2 linked regions of the Drosophila melanogaster genome follow. Changing the gene in region 1 together with any one later gene gives a genetic interaction. Each region holds a gene or a part of one and is shown in the gene's direction. Other genes may lie near its edges.

Region 1 (8,181 bases):
TTAATGTAACTCGTTTATTTATCTCTTTCTTCTATCTATGGCATACAATCCATCAAAAACAAAAAACCAAAATCACTTTCTGATTCCCAAAACCAAACCCGAATAAATTACAGATAAATTGGATGGAACTTTCTCAAGATCCAGATCATCGTCAATGTCCAGCATTGATATGTCTTCCTCTGAATCTGTTACCTGTTTAGCTTTTATCGAGAGTTATGCAAAACGAAATGGTAAGACTGATCGGTGATTAGATTATATCTTAACATCTATACATATATTTAACATTGTTTTTACTTAGATATTTTGACACTTGTTCCTACTTTGTGGATTGGAACTAGTTTCGGTTCGATACTGACATTGTTCATCACCATGCCCGAGCGAGATGTGCGCAAATCTCAGCCAGTATTGATAACAATAAATGGTAAGTGATAAAGCCACGCACATAAATGAAAACCTTTTTAAATATCTTCTCCTTTTTTCAGGTGGCCCCGTGGTACGACTCAAAGGATCCATAACTTCCATGTCTTTTTTAGACTCATACGGTTCGATCATACCCTATACGTTTGAGACCTGGCGTGACGAGAAGAGGGACAACAAAGATCGTAAGCATCTCGACTTCATACCACATTGATCTGATGCCCCCGACTAATCCACATATATATCCAATATGATTTCAAGGCACACCAACAAAGAGCAGCAGCCGCACCAGTCCCACATTCACACCGACAACTGCCAATACATTATCAAACACTTCGGTCGCGGGTGGTGCGTCCGCAGGCGGAGGAGCTGGCGGCGGTGGTGGTGCCGGCGGTGGTGCGGCCAGCGGTGGCGCAGCCGCAGGAGGGCCAGCCGGCGGTGGTGCCGGAGCAGGATCGGCGGCTGGAGCGGCCGGCGGCGTTGGAAGCGGTGTAACCAGCGGCGGGGGGATGAGCAGCAGCAGCGCCAGCAGCAGCGGCATCAGCGGAAGTGTGAGCACCGGCCTGGAAACTCTCACCGATCGACAATACATCGTTATCGCAAGCGAGAAGCAAACAAAAGTCTTCGATGTCGCCAACCAGTGCTGCATCAACCGCATACAATTATCGGAAATGGATTTTGCAGTCAAGGCAGAAACTATCACGATGAAAGGTGACTTTCACTTTGTTTTATTTTCATTTTATTAGTGGAGCAAGAAAGTCATAATTTGTTGTAATTAGTGCAATTGATTGTAATTAATACATATATCAACGTTCCCTTCATTCCAGATGGCTCTTGCTTAGCAACCTATCTTTCGAATGGCCATCTAATGGTACATAGTCTTCCTAGTCTAAAACTGTTATTGGATACTGATTTCTTACCACTTATGGAACTAAGGTGAGCCGTACACTTATAAGGTACTCTTAGCATTTTTACAACTAATGGTTCTATCGTCTATTTAGTTTTCAAACAAAATGTAAACAGGGAATTGTGGATCCAATGCTTTCGATATGGGGTCAACAGATCATTGTTCATGAAGATACAACTCAGTAAGTCCTAAGCTAAAATATATATTTTTATTTCCAACTTTTACTAATCTTGTTCCATTATCCACAGAATATCAAAAATATTTTGCTTTAGTCATAAAGGTCATGGATTGTACATGGCATCGCCCACCGAAATTCAAAAATTCACGATATCATCGGAATTTTGGTAAACCAAAACAAACATAATTCATTGTACTTTAAACATTGCATATTAATTTGTAATTCTTTCCCTTATTCAAGTCAATTTATTTTGGAGATGATGGGTGAACTATATACGGTACACGAAATGCCCGAACAGCCGAAGGAGGGTTTCTTCAAGGGTCTATTTGGTGGTGGCGCCAAACTCCTGGATCGCGAGGAGCTATGTGAGTAGATCTGCATCAGATCTGCATGTCGTTACCATCGATCATTTCAATAATCCGTACAATTCCTATCCCTATCCTTGCAGTTGGCGAGCAGAGCGGGAAACCGAATCGATCGGTGGCACGGCACATACCCGGCCCCAATTTGGAGCAGCTCGGCCAGAGGGCTTCCACCGCCGCATCGGAGATCAGCCGGGCGCACCAGCTGGCCATGGAGCGCGGCGAGAAGCTAAATTTGCTGGAGGAGCGCGCCGAGCGCATGGCCAACACTGCTCAAGATTTCAGCGGCACTGCGCATCAATTAATGCTTAAATATAAAGACAAGAAGTGGTATCAGTTGTAAAATATCTATTTTAGGAGCCAATTCTACCACAGTTATTGTAATATTGCTTTTATAACACTTTCTACTACATTACGAGTAAAGTACACTTATTTAATTTCTGTTTTCAAGTCGTCACGTTATTTACAAAAACCGAAAACCAACAAAAAAAAACAACAAAAACCGAAAATTCACAAAAACAAAAAAACTGAAAGAGAAAACCCAACCAAAAAAAAACTGTTTTTAATAAAAATATATAGACCAAAAAACAGGCACTGTGGAGTCTTAATGTATTCATGAATATTGTGGGTTATTAAAGTATTTTTAATTTGATTTCTTTGTTTCACATGTTTTATACGCTCGAACAAAGTGGGTGCTGCTTTCAATCGTTCTTTATAGTAACATCAACTCTGAGTAGACTTTAGTATCAGATTCGAACATAACAGCAGCACACGAGTGAAAAGTGTTTTCTGTTCCCCATTTGAATTATCCGCGCAGTGTTGTGTCAGTGCTGAAAATCGCCGCAGAGTCGCGAAGTCAATTTCAATCCGATAGTTTAGCAGTGTGCCACGGTGAAGTATCGTTTCTCGTTCATACCTATCTGAGCGTATCGTTCCACGATATCAGGTGGCAGTGTTTGGTTGAACCTATCGGGCCCTATCGATATAAGCAAAAGCATTTTTGCTGGATCTACCATTTTATTTTAGTTAATAAAATACATATATTTCCTCTCTTTTTGTTCCGTTTGTGCGCGTACAAAACTAGCTGCGAACTCGTGCAATATTTCATAAACTGAATGGGAAAACAACGATAACGACGAAAGAAAACGAAAACGGATCTGCGACGAAATTTTCCCCGTTCCGTTTTTTTTTCTCCACCAGCAGCAGAAGCAGCAGAGCAAAAGCAGCGAATATATTTGTAAAAGAGAGCCCCAACCTTGAGAAAAAACAACCAGCAGGGCAATAATTAGTTGAATTTATCGTCTGCTGGTAAGAAATGAACCCAAATGTGAACTTAGACCGTTTGATTTCCGCGAGGATCCATCATTTTTTCACCCATTTCGTCCAGTTTCAAATGCGTGCTAAATATGCTAACGTGTGTGTGTGTGTGATGGGTCTTCGATGGTGTGCGTGTCTCGCTGTGCGCTTCAATGTGTTGGTCTGCTTCTCACACTCTGCGTTCGTGTGTGTGTGTATATGTGTGCCTTCGAAATTTTCTTTTGTGTAAAACATTTGTAAGGTGCAACTGCAGCTGTGTGCGTGTGTGTGTATCGCTTTGACTGCCGTTGTTGTTTTTGTTGTTGTGCGTCATAGCAATGAGTGTGTGTGTGTGTGTAATATGCATTCCAACGGGGTAAGAAAGAAGAGGAAGCAGTACCTGTCGCCAATAAATATCGTATATCGATGTCTGTCTGTGTTTATTTAGAATTTCCCTTCAGCCCGCCCCCGTGCAAAAGGAAATATTGCTCCTCCTTCACCTCCATCACCTCAAGTAGGGATCAAGTGTAATCGATAATGCAGACATATCGATTGGTCCGTTGAGAAACATCAGAAAAACACGTAAAGTGCAAGCTGGAAAAGAAAAGCAAAACAAATTCCGGAGAGCAGAAAGAGAGGTGGAAAAGAAAGTGTTGAGAAAGGGATGACAGCAAAAAGAGGCTCTGGTGATATTAGTTAAATGTCAGCTGGTCTGTAAATCGTCGCGACATTTTGTGTTGGGGCAACTATTCAAAACTTTCCCAAAAACACTGTGAAACAACTCTAGAGAAGATACCACTCATTTTTCTTAAGGTTAAAATATAAAACAGTACACGATTACATTTTCTGGGATCCGCAAAACTGTTCGTTTTGTAATAGGTCCCTTTGTAGTATTAGAGTAATATAGTTGTTTAGATGAAGGGTGTTCAAGTGTCAGAATGATAATTAGTAACTCCTAGCGTTTAGTTCTTAACTTAATATATACAAAACATATAATGTTCCCAACCCATGCAGTTTTTCAAGTGAACGCGTCCAACTGTTTTTGAAGCGAAGCGCTTAGGCGGAGGAGCAGCTAGCCAGGATGGACAAGATGCGGATATTGAAGGAAAGTCGCCCCGAGATAATCGTCGGTGGCAAATATCGGGTGATCAGGAAGATTGGTAATTCAGCCGTGCGATTTTATCCCCACAATATTCTCTAATCTCTGAAAATTATTCACAGGAAGCGGATCGTTTGGCGACATTTACCTGGGCATGAGCATCCAGAGCGGCGAAGAAGTGGCCATCAAGATGGAGAGCGCCCACGCCCGCCATCCGCAGCTGTTGTACGAGGCCAAGCTGTACCGCATTCTGAGCGGCGGCGTTGGATTCCCTCGTATACGTCACCATGGCAAGGAAAAGAACTTCAACACCCTGGTCATGGACCTGCTGGGACCCTCGCTGGAGGATCTGTTCAATTTCTGTACGCGCCATTTCACAATCAAAACGGTTCTGATGCTCGTCGACCAGATGATCGGACGCTTGGAGTACATCCATCTCAAGTGCTTCATCCATCGCGACATCAAGCCGGATAACTTCCTAATGGGCATTGGTCGGCACTGCAATAAGCTGTTCCTGATCGATTTCGGTCTGGCCAAGAAGTTCCGCGATCCGCACACGCGCCATCACATCGTTTACCGCGAGGACAAGAACCTCACCGGCACTGCCCGCTATGCCTCGATCAATGCCCATCTGGGCATCGAGCAGTCGCGGCGTGACGACATGGAATCGCTTGGATACGTGATGATGTACTTCAATCGCGGCGTACTGCCATGGCAAGGCATGAAGGCCAACACCAAGCAGCAGAAATACGAGAAGATCTCCGAAAAGAAGATGTCCACGCCCATCGAGGTCCTCTGCAAGGGCTCGCCGGCCGAGTTCTCCATGTATCTGAACTATTGTCGTAGCCTGCGCTTCGAGGAGCAGCCAGATTACATGTACCTACGTCAATTGTTCCGGTGAGTACGATTAAATCATATATTGCATACGAATCTTAAGATTACACCCGATTGTTTTTGTGATAATGTTTGTGGTGATAATCATTGTGGAGGCTGTATTCGATATGTGTTTAGGTCATAGTTTTCTTGTTTTTTTTTTTTAATTCGAAATGATGTAACCCCAACTTTCTCTTTAATACAGCATACTGTTCAGAACGCTGAACCATCAGTATGACTACATCTACGACTGGACAATGCTGAAGCAGAAGACCCATCAGGGTCAACCCAATCCAGCTATACTCTTGGAGCAATTGGACAAGGACAAGGAGAAGCAGAACGGCAAGCCCCTGATCGCGGACTAAGAGCTGCAGCGCATTCAGACGAATGGGGGGAGTGCATCAGAGAAGGAGAACGTGGATGCGTGGATGTAAATGACGTTGATGTGGGCGAAAGGCCCGGCAAGGAGCGGAGCAAATATGAAACAGACGCAACCGTAAAATTGAGTAACACCAGCGGTCGTCCGAATGTTTCTTAATATTAATTTAAATTCAATACTAAACAAATAAGGAACCACAAACAAGCAAGCAACGGCATCATCAGCAGGGCATATAAAATGATACCCCAGCAAATGTGATTCACGAGTGAATCACTGCGATCGATAATAACATAAACCGAAATTATTGCAAATCAATACGATTTAAACTAATTTGCAATCCATACACAAATCAACATACTTGCATAACACACCCACACACACACATACATACACACACTCACCCACTCTCATCCACCCACTCAAAAAGCAAACATCATTGCCCAAAAGGGGGAGAAAAAAGAAAAGAAGAGAGAAGAAGAAAAGAAGAGGAAAGAAATCAACAACACTTAGCCTAATAAATTACAAGAAATAATATTGGTAGAGTTGGAGGAACAAAATGAAGTAATGCTGAGGAAACTAAACCTATATATATATGTATATGTATATATGTAAGCGAATAAACACAACACCATATATGTATGCATATACCCATTTGATTCACGTCAAATCGAATCCAATGCTTAATTATGAATCGAGCGAAACAAAACTCAATAACTAATTAAAATGGAATAAATAAGAAACAAAACAGCAACAAGCAAACAACAACACAAAAAAACAACAAACAAATAAGAATAAACAATAAAAAAAAATTAATAAAACACACCGAGAAAAGCAAACAAAAAAAATATAGTGGAGGATGCGGAGGAGAAACAACCAAGCAAAGCCAACTGAGATGGGGGAAAATATAAAATAAAAGCAGCAACAAGAGTAAAACAAGCAAATAATAATTATAATGAAGAAAGAAAAAGAAGAAAACAGACCGCAAAACTGCAAAGTAATTTTGCATAGTACGCCGTAATAATTATAAATATAACTTATATTTAATTTTTTGAATTACATCAATAAATATGTTGAAATTAAATTTCGACTCGGCGCTGTTCACATCTGCATTAGATAGAGATGGGGGCATACGAAAGGGAAAGAAGTGCATTCAAATATATTTATTGTTGTAATATACGTCATTGTTTATTAGCGATTAGCTCTATTGGTTAATAATCTTTTTTAAAATTGTAGCATGTAATTAGTTTTTTTATTATACTATATTAAATTTACATAAAAATTGTATATTCATATATATATATATATGCATACGTTTTATTTGAGCCCCAACATTTAATTTCCCCCATAAGTGCTTTGTATCTAAAGTTGTATTCGTTTCAGCTGAAATTAAAATTTAGTTGAAATTAAAGATGCTTTTATATATTTAAATTAATCACAAAAAAATGCCTGTGTTTTTCAGATCTTGCGTTCAGTCATTAATAATGCATTTTAGTTATGAAAACTTGAACGTGACATAAAAACATTTCATTGTCACATTGGTTTATGGTTTATGGTTTATGGTTTATGGTTTGTTTATTTAAATTTGTACTGCTACTATTGATATCATCTAGTAGATTGCATAGCTGGTAGTTAGCAAAATATTCTGAAGAGATGAGAAAAAAAACGTAGAATCTTTGTAGAGAAAGTTGTCAATATTTTAAATTACGTTTATATTTAATGGAATGGTTATCTGCGATACTGTAATGGATGGTACAGGGGGGCGCAGCGTTAATCATCTTTCTTTAAAGTATTTTCCATAATGCCTCCAAAAATCGATTCGTAATGTTTTTTCACTTTCAGGTGGTCTTTCTTAAGATCCAAAACGAATTTAGCAGCTGACGTCTTTTGCAACCCGACTGTGAAATACATTTATTTATTAGACCCTCTTAATTTCTTTGTTTATTCGTCATTGTTGACCAATGACACGTACGCGGTCCGTCTGTGTGTGAGAATGTGCTTTTTATTATTTATTAACTTTATGGGATGTCCACTGCACTACTGACCCATTCCAATCAGCACCCCGTTTGCAAGCAGAAGGCGCTGATTGGAAAACACCAATTGCAGTGCAATTGCTGATAAGAACATTTAAAGTTCTGATTGAATAGTAAAAGAGCAAAAACGAAGCGCAACATTTATCAATTCGTCTCTTTAGTTTGACAAGAGATCTTAAAACATTTGCTATTTATAATTTTACATTTATAAATAACTTATTGCAGGATAACTCCTGAGAACATTGTCATTATTTTATCATTACATTCCTAAAAAGCTAACATGGGGAAAAATACAAATGAAATTTAAACTATGGCGCTTGTTTTGATACTGCGATTTAGATGGCTGCCACATAGTTTGACTTTGCCACCCGTGGAGCTGAAGTGACTGGAAATATATCTTTAACAACTTAAAGTTGCCTAACTAGTGCAATTATGCGCTTCAATAATGTTTTAAAAATAGTAGAAATTGGGACAGCGCTGCCAATAACTTCGAAAATTTAAAGGCAATCCAGTGGCACCACTGGCAAGCGAGTAGGTACAGGTGGCACCTCTACCAGTCGAGTTTGCACAGGTGGCACCACTAGCAAGCGAGTTGGCTCGATTAATGTTACTTGATTTACTATCGACTATGCTACTTGAT
Region 2 (5,824 bases), on another chromosome or scaffold:
GGACGGGAAATCTTCTATTACATTATAAATAATTGTGTTTATTTCTTAAAAAATATTTCTCTGCATAAAAGGGTTTTATAAAAACAACTATCCCTATGAACGGGAATCAGTATGTATTGTTTATAAATGAGTATTCAACATTATTTTGGTTTTTGAGCAATAAAGTTCGACGTCATTATTGTTATATCTGGTTTTTTTATGCAAAGGTCTTTAATCATTATTTTTACCTTTCCGATATTTTAAAGTAACTAAATCTGGCTATAATATATCGCCTCATTTGCAAGCCCTCATTTATTATCGATAAATATAAATTCCTTCTCACCTTCGTGAGAAAACGTAAACAATTTAAGAAAACAGAAAATGCCCTCGGAAAACAGGTGATTGCAGCATAAGTACTTGCAAAACTAATTTACGAAATGCAGCTATACTATTGCCACTCAACAGAATCAAAATCCTACCCAAGGCGGTGGTCTGCGAGGAGAGCAGCCTGCGCGGTGACATCACCTTCTCGTCGGGCTGTGTGGTTCATCCGAGTGCCACCGTTATCGCCGACGCAGGTCCCATAATAATTGGGGAGAATTGCATCATAGAGGAATATGCCACCGTAGCTCACCGCTTGGAGCCGGGCGCCGTTTGGGATGTCAACAATATCCTGAGCATTGGCACTCACAATGTCTTTGAAGTCGGCTGCCAAGTGGAAGCGGCCAAGATTGGCGATAAGAACGTCTTCGAGAGCAAGTGCTATGTGGGCCCCGGTGTCACTGTTTCCAGCGGTTGTGTGGTGGGAGCTGGAATAAAGATCCATGGTAGTCAACGCCTGCCCGAAAACACGATTGTTTATGGAGAGCAGGGCCTGCAGCGCGAGGCCATCGACAAGCAGGGATCGCAGACCCTGCAGATCGACTTCCTGCGCAAGGTCCTGCCAAACTATCATCATCTACGCAAGCCCAACTACGATCCCAAGAAGGCGCGCAGCGTGGTTTAGTTTTAAGTATTCTTTATACATATATATCTAATTTTCCACTTTCATTGCATTAAACTCGGCCATCTCCTTTTCGAACGTAACGATTGTATGATCACACAGACCCTCCAGATCCTCCAGTCCCCGTTTAAGTATATCTATGGCTCTGTCTCGACGGGATTGAATGCGGAAGTGCAGCTTCTGCTCCGTGGGATGCGGAATCGTGTAGCCACAGAAATCCACCTCCGGGTAGCGGGCTATGATCGTTTTCAGCGCATTTCCCAGCGTGTGGCCCTCGTTGGTGAACACAAAAGTACGAGATCCTTCGCCGTTTTTCTCATCACCAGCCAGCTGGGGAAAGTATTTAAGAATTAATTACTCACATTGCATATTTAATGCATTGTCTACCTCTGCCAATGCTCCCATTTTCAGTTTGTTCAAATACTCGTTCGTTTGTTTACAAAAAACGTGCAGGGCACATGCCTCGGCAATCGATGTTAGAGTCATCGAAACATATCGATTTAAGTAGCTAAGGACGGCTTATTCCAATTGGAATGCAATGTAGCTAAAAACTAGAGATGCCTATCCCATTTTGAATTTAAGTAAAACTTAGCCATATCTTCCCGAAAAAACTGTTAAATTTAAGTTGTGTATGTATAAAAGAGTATGTCTTCTGAAACATTCCTACTGTTTGCTTGTGCCAAGTGTCATACCAACATTGACTTTAATTCTTGAAAATCAAATGAGTTACTTCTAAGTAAATGCATAAATACCGTGGTAACGTCATCGATGTATCGATAGCGCGCCGATGTCTCCACCAGCTCCAGTTCTTGACGCGTTCTGACACGGACGCGGTTTTCAGACAGAGCATTGAATTGTGTGTGTTGCTTCTTAATTCGCTTTGTTCTGTGGCCAATTTTATTGGGCCAACTGCGAAATCAGTTTTGTGCGGTGTCGGCCAAAAAAAAGAAGAAAAAGTGTCGCAAACAGCCGCATTAGCATAATTGCAAGCCGCCTTCTGCATACGTGTGTGAGTGTTGGTTTGTTTGAAAGCATCAGCAGAAAAGGCGGCAAGGAAAGAAGCAGAGAGGCGAAGCGGAGCGAAGAAAACAAAAACAAAAAAACTGCAACGGCAAACATAATTATTTGCGCAATGCATTCAACGTGAAGTTGCTCCAAAAACACCGACACTCGGGAAAAACGCATACAACGACGAATCGGCAATTCATTTTACATGCTTTTTCGCCGTTTCCATCAGGAATTGACTGCAATACAGGTTTGTTTAATGCCCACCATGTGCTTATTAATAACATCGCATACATAAATAAGCGGTATTGAAAAGCTCGAGTTGTCATTTCAATTTTGTTGACGGCCACGCCCCCCATCTGGTTCCGAAAATTATGCAAATTCATGCGCCCTTTTATTTTTGTGCACGCACACAGCTGCAAACAGGCAGCTGCCTCTGCCGCCGTGCCGTCGACGCTGTTGCCCGCGAAGGCGGAAGTGATGGCTAAAAAATACCAGTTCAGAGGCTCAACTAAAGCTTTATCTTGTTCGTTACTGTGCCTCCTGTTCTGCTTTTCGTTAGTTATTGCCAATAATGTAGACTTTTATTTCCAAATTGTTAAATTTCCTAATTGGCACTTTGCATTCACGTTCGCAGTCTGCATCTTCAATTACCAATTACGAGAATAACAGTATTCGGTTTCTTAACATGTACTTTACGATTTATATGCATATAACCAAAAGGTTGAATACAATCAAATATGATCTTACGTAGTTTCCAGTAAAATTTTAAAAATATTTTTTATTTAATTTCGTTAATATGTATGGTTTTTTAATCCAATAAGATTTTTATAAATATTTTTCTCCCTAGGGTATGCAACACTTTATTGCAAAGATACCCAATAGCTCTTAGCCAATACTCACTGTATTTTGTTTCCACTGGTTGCTATGCTCTTCTCCCCTGCCCCTTGCCATTCCTCTCTCCGCTTCCTTCTCGGCATCCTGCTAACTCCTTTGCACTCATTTGTTCGGTGGTAGCTGACACACACACATGTACACACATCTGTTGTGCTTTGGTGGTGACTAATGCGGCAGCATGTTCCGTTATCTCATGCGTTCCCCCTCCTCGCGCCCACGCGCCGCAGCGCTTGTGTTGTAATAATCACTTTTCGTGTATGTATGGCAGTGCGCGCGAGTCTGTCTCACGTTTCGTTTGGCGCCATGCGTTCCCCCCAATTTGCAGTTGTTGCAATTTAGTCTAGGCTGCGTTCCTCTTCCATTTCGTTTCCCCCATTATGCTGGGCGCCCTTTTGCCTTGTTGTTTTTGTTTTTACATGGCCTGCAGTTTAAGTATGTATATATGTATGTATTGAGAGCCGGCGTTTTTGTGGCTCGTGTGTGAGTGAGAGCGAGGCAGCTGCTCTCTCCTGGCCGAAAAAAGTGGCTGCTCTCTCTCCTGGGCTAACTCTATTCTTGCTTTTATGGGTTTCTTTTGAGTTTGCAATTATTTTGGCTTTGTAGTGGTTACAACAAAGGAACTGCATATAACCGTCACGATCGTGGCAAAAAGGGAGAATACGAAAAAGAGAAGTGCGAAATGGTTCTGGGAATACGATCCAGAGGGCCCATGTAAATATGTATGTAAACACAACCTAATATATACATTCATACATACATATGTACATAGCAACAGCGATCTATGGCCTGTACATAGAGAAAATAACTTCCCTAGCATTTACTCGCGAAGCTGATTCGTAAACAATTCACCACCTCGTGTGTAATATATCTTTTCAACGTATAATAAACGAAAACTAGTAGAAAGTAATAAACGCATAGAAAAAGGATGCAGTACGGTAGACCATTTTAAAATTATATTAATTCAAAATACAAAAGTATTTTTTGTGTATAGCTGCGCACGTGAAAATAAATTATAAAAGAGGGGGAGCCCGAAATTTTAAGTCCTCCCAAGGGTGGTGTATATTCCACCTTGTGCCATGAATATTGCAAATAATCCACTTGAGGTACAAAATACCTGTCCACGATGTAGACACAGTGTGCTGACTTGACAAGGACAGGTTATAAATTGAATTTTAAAACAAAAATTCTATGTATAATGGTACTAAGGTTTTTACCGATTCTATTGGTAAATTAATAAATGCTTAACGAGTTTTTGAAAATAATTCTGTCAGTAAACATAGCAATGGTGTGTTCTTTCGATCATTTATCTATATTTATCAATGGTGCATGCAATATTTTTGTTGGGCCCACTGTGCCAGAAAGTTCCAAGGATGCTGCAGACATCGAAAGCCAAACGAAACGAAATAAAATAAAATACACAGACAGTTTTGGAGCGAAAGGAAGTGGAAGGAGTAGCTGAGGTGAAGAAGGGGCTAAAGGGGAGCCCCTTTAGCTCGAATGCAGACAAAAAAGGTGAAGTGGCAATGGCACAAGACGAAGACGAAGAGCACGAGAACAAGGAACAGACGGGAACACGGACACGACGACGTGATATTCCAACATCCTGTGCAGCGAGTCACGAAGGAGGTGGGGAGCGCCATAAAGCCGGAGAGCACAGCAAAGCAGGGGGCGGAGGAGAGCGAAAACCTGTCATCTGCTGCATTCGATGCGGGCCACGAATAGGGGGTGGGGGGAATCGAGGAGAAGAGAAGGAGACAGAGACGCAGAAGGATGAAGCTGCAAGCATTTTTAGAATTCCCAAAATCAACATAAAAACCAAGTAAAGTAACTACACAACAGGACAAATTTTTAAGCCGAAAAGTGCAATATTTGATTAATAGGTTCGAGTTTAGTACCATTACTGTTAATCAGTGCATTAATAAATTTATTTGATAATTTGTGATGTAATAAATTTTACAACAATGCCAATACTAAATAACACACAATCACTTGGTTGCACATTTAAGATCTATAGGAACAAGTGATACTTACAGCCACATCATTTTTTCCTCTGTAAGAAGAGCCAGTCAAAAGGAAGCTGCGCTGAGTCCCCTCCTCTCTCCCTCCTTCTTCTGTGTGCTTCTCTATGTGTGCGTGATCGCTGCCCAGACGCAGCAGCAGCGACGCCGGCAGAGAGACATAAAACAAACAAAAACCTCACATGCATTTTTCTCTTGTTTCGCCTTTGTTCGGGTTTCCTTGTTTTTGGTCTTCGTTGTGTCGGGTATCGAAATTTAGCCATATTTTAGGAGGATATAATAACAAACCGTAGATCATTTAGTTGTCATATGTATGTACATATACATGATACATGTATGTACATATGTATTGTATATTCCACATATTGTGTGAAAAATAGTTCTAATTATTGATTATTAAAGCTACATGGATTATAAGCCTAAAGTCTATGATGTTGGCTTAGAATAGCGAATCCTTCAACTAAGTTACCTAAATCTCGACATCCGCTGCTTCCGGGAACATTTAAGCCAGCAAAATTCGAAAAGAGAGTGGCTCTTGATTTCCGGCCTTTAGTTTCAGGTGAATTGAAAGGGAAATGGCGCTGTAAGCCACCCAGACATCCTTGTGGTTTTCGCAATTGAAATGCATGTTTTATTCGTGCATTATTTGAGCATTTTTTTTTTCACAATACGCTTGGAGGGATTTGCATAATACGCCGTAGGGCAGCCGTAAAATGTGTCCGATGCCGTCTGTTGCCGTTGCCATCGCCCATATTGCGGATGGGGAGTTCAAGTTGATGTTGTTGATGTTGTTTCGGTGGTGGTGGTTGCTGCTCGGTTCCTCAAAGGACTCGCACCGCATCCCCCGTGTGTGTGTGTGTGTGTGTGTGGATGTCCTGTGCCTAGTTTCGTTTCATTTTCGTTTCACTTTTTCCCTTTTCGC

Evidence for each region. Genes that interact genetically often act in the same process or in processes that back each other up.
Region 2: of CkIalpha (region 1) and brat, changing one enhances a phenotype caused by changing the other (phenotypic enhancement), as found in Drosophila melanogaster (one study listed by BioGRID).

The regions. Positions count from the first base shown.
Region 1 is NC_004354.4:12,650,997-12,659,177, forward strand, and holds CkIalpha (casein kinase ialpha), read left to right. Parts: upstream 1-2,803; 5' UTR 2,804-3,172; intron 3,173-3,402; exon of another isoform or gene 3,403-3,536; intron 3,537-3,703; exon of another isoform or gene 3,704-3,973; intron 3,974-4,174; 5' UTR 4,175-4,241; coding exon 4,242-4,320; intron 4,321-4,381; coding exon 4,382-5,156; intron 5,157-5,337; coding exon 5,338-5,497; 3' UTR 5,498-6,838; downstream 6,839-8,181. Other genes in the region: tomosyn, read left to right, coding at 114-230, 299-421, 483-602, 679-1,128, 1,245-1,353, 1,419-1,505, 1,573-1,668, 1,743-1,867 and 1 more. UniProt on the Drosophila melanogaster protein: Casein kinases are operationally defined by their preferential utilization of acidic proteins such as caseins as substrates. Can phosphorylate a large number of proteins. Negative regulator of wg signaling.
Region 2 is NT_033779.5:19,132,040-19,137,863, forward strand, and holds the start of brat (brain tumor), read left to right. Parts: upstream 1-1,782; 5' UTR 1,783-2,237; intron 2,238-2,890; coding exon of another isoform or gene 2,891-2,941; exon of another isoform or gene 2,942-3,194; intron 3,195-5,824. Other genes in the region: DCTN6-p27 (dynactin 6, p27 subunit), read left to right, coding at 361-377, 445-985; Polr1D (RNA polymerase I and III subunit D), read right to left, coding at 1,013-1,312, 1,735-1,782, 2,891-2,941. UniProt on the Drosophila melanogaster protein: A NHL-domain family protein that functions as a translational repressor to inhibit cell proliferation.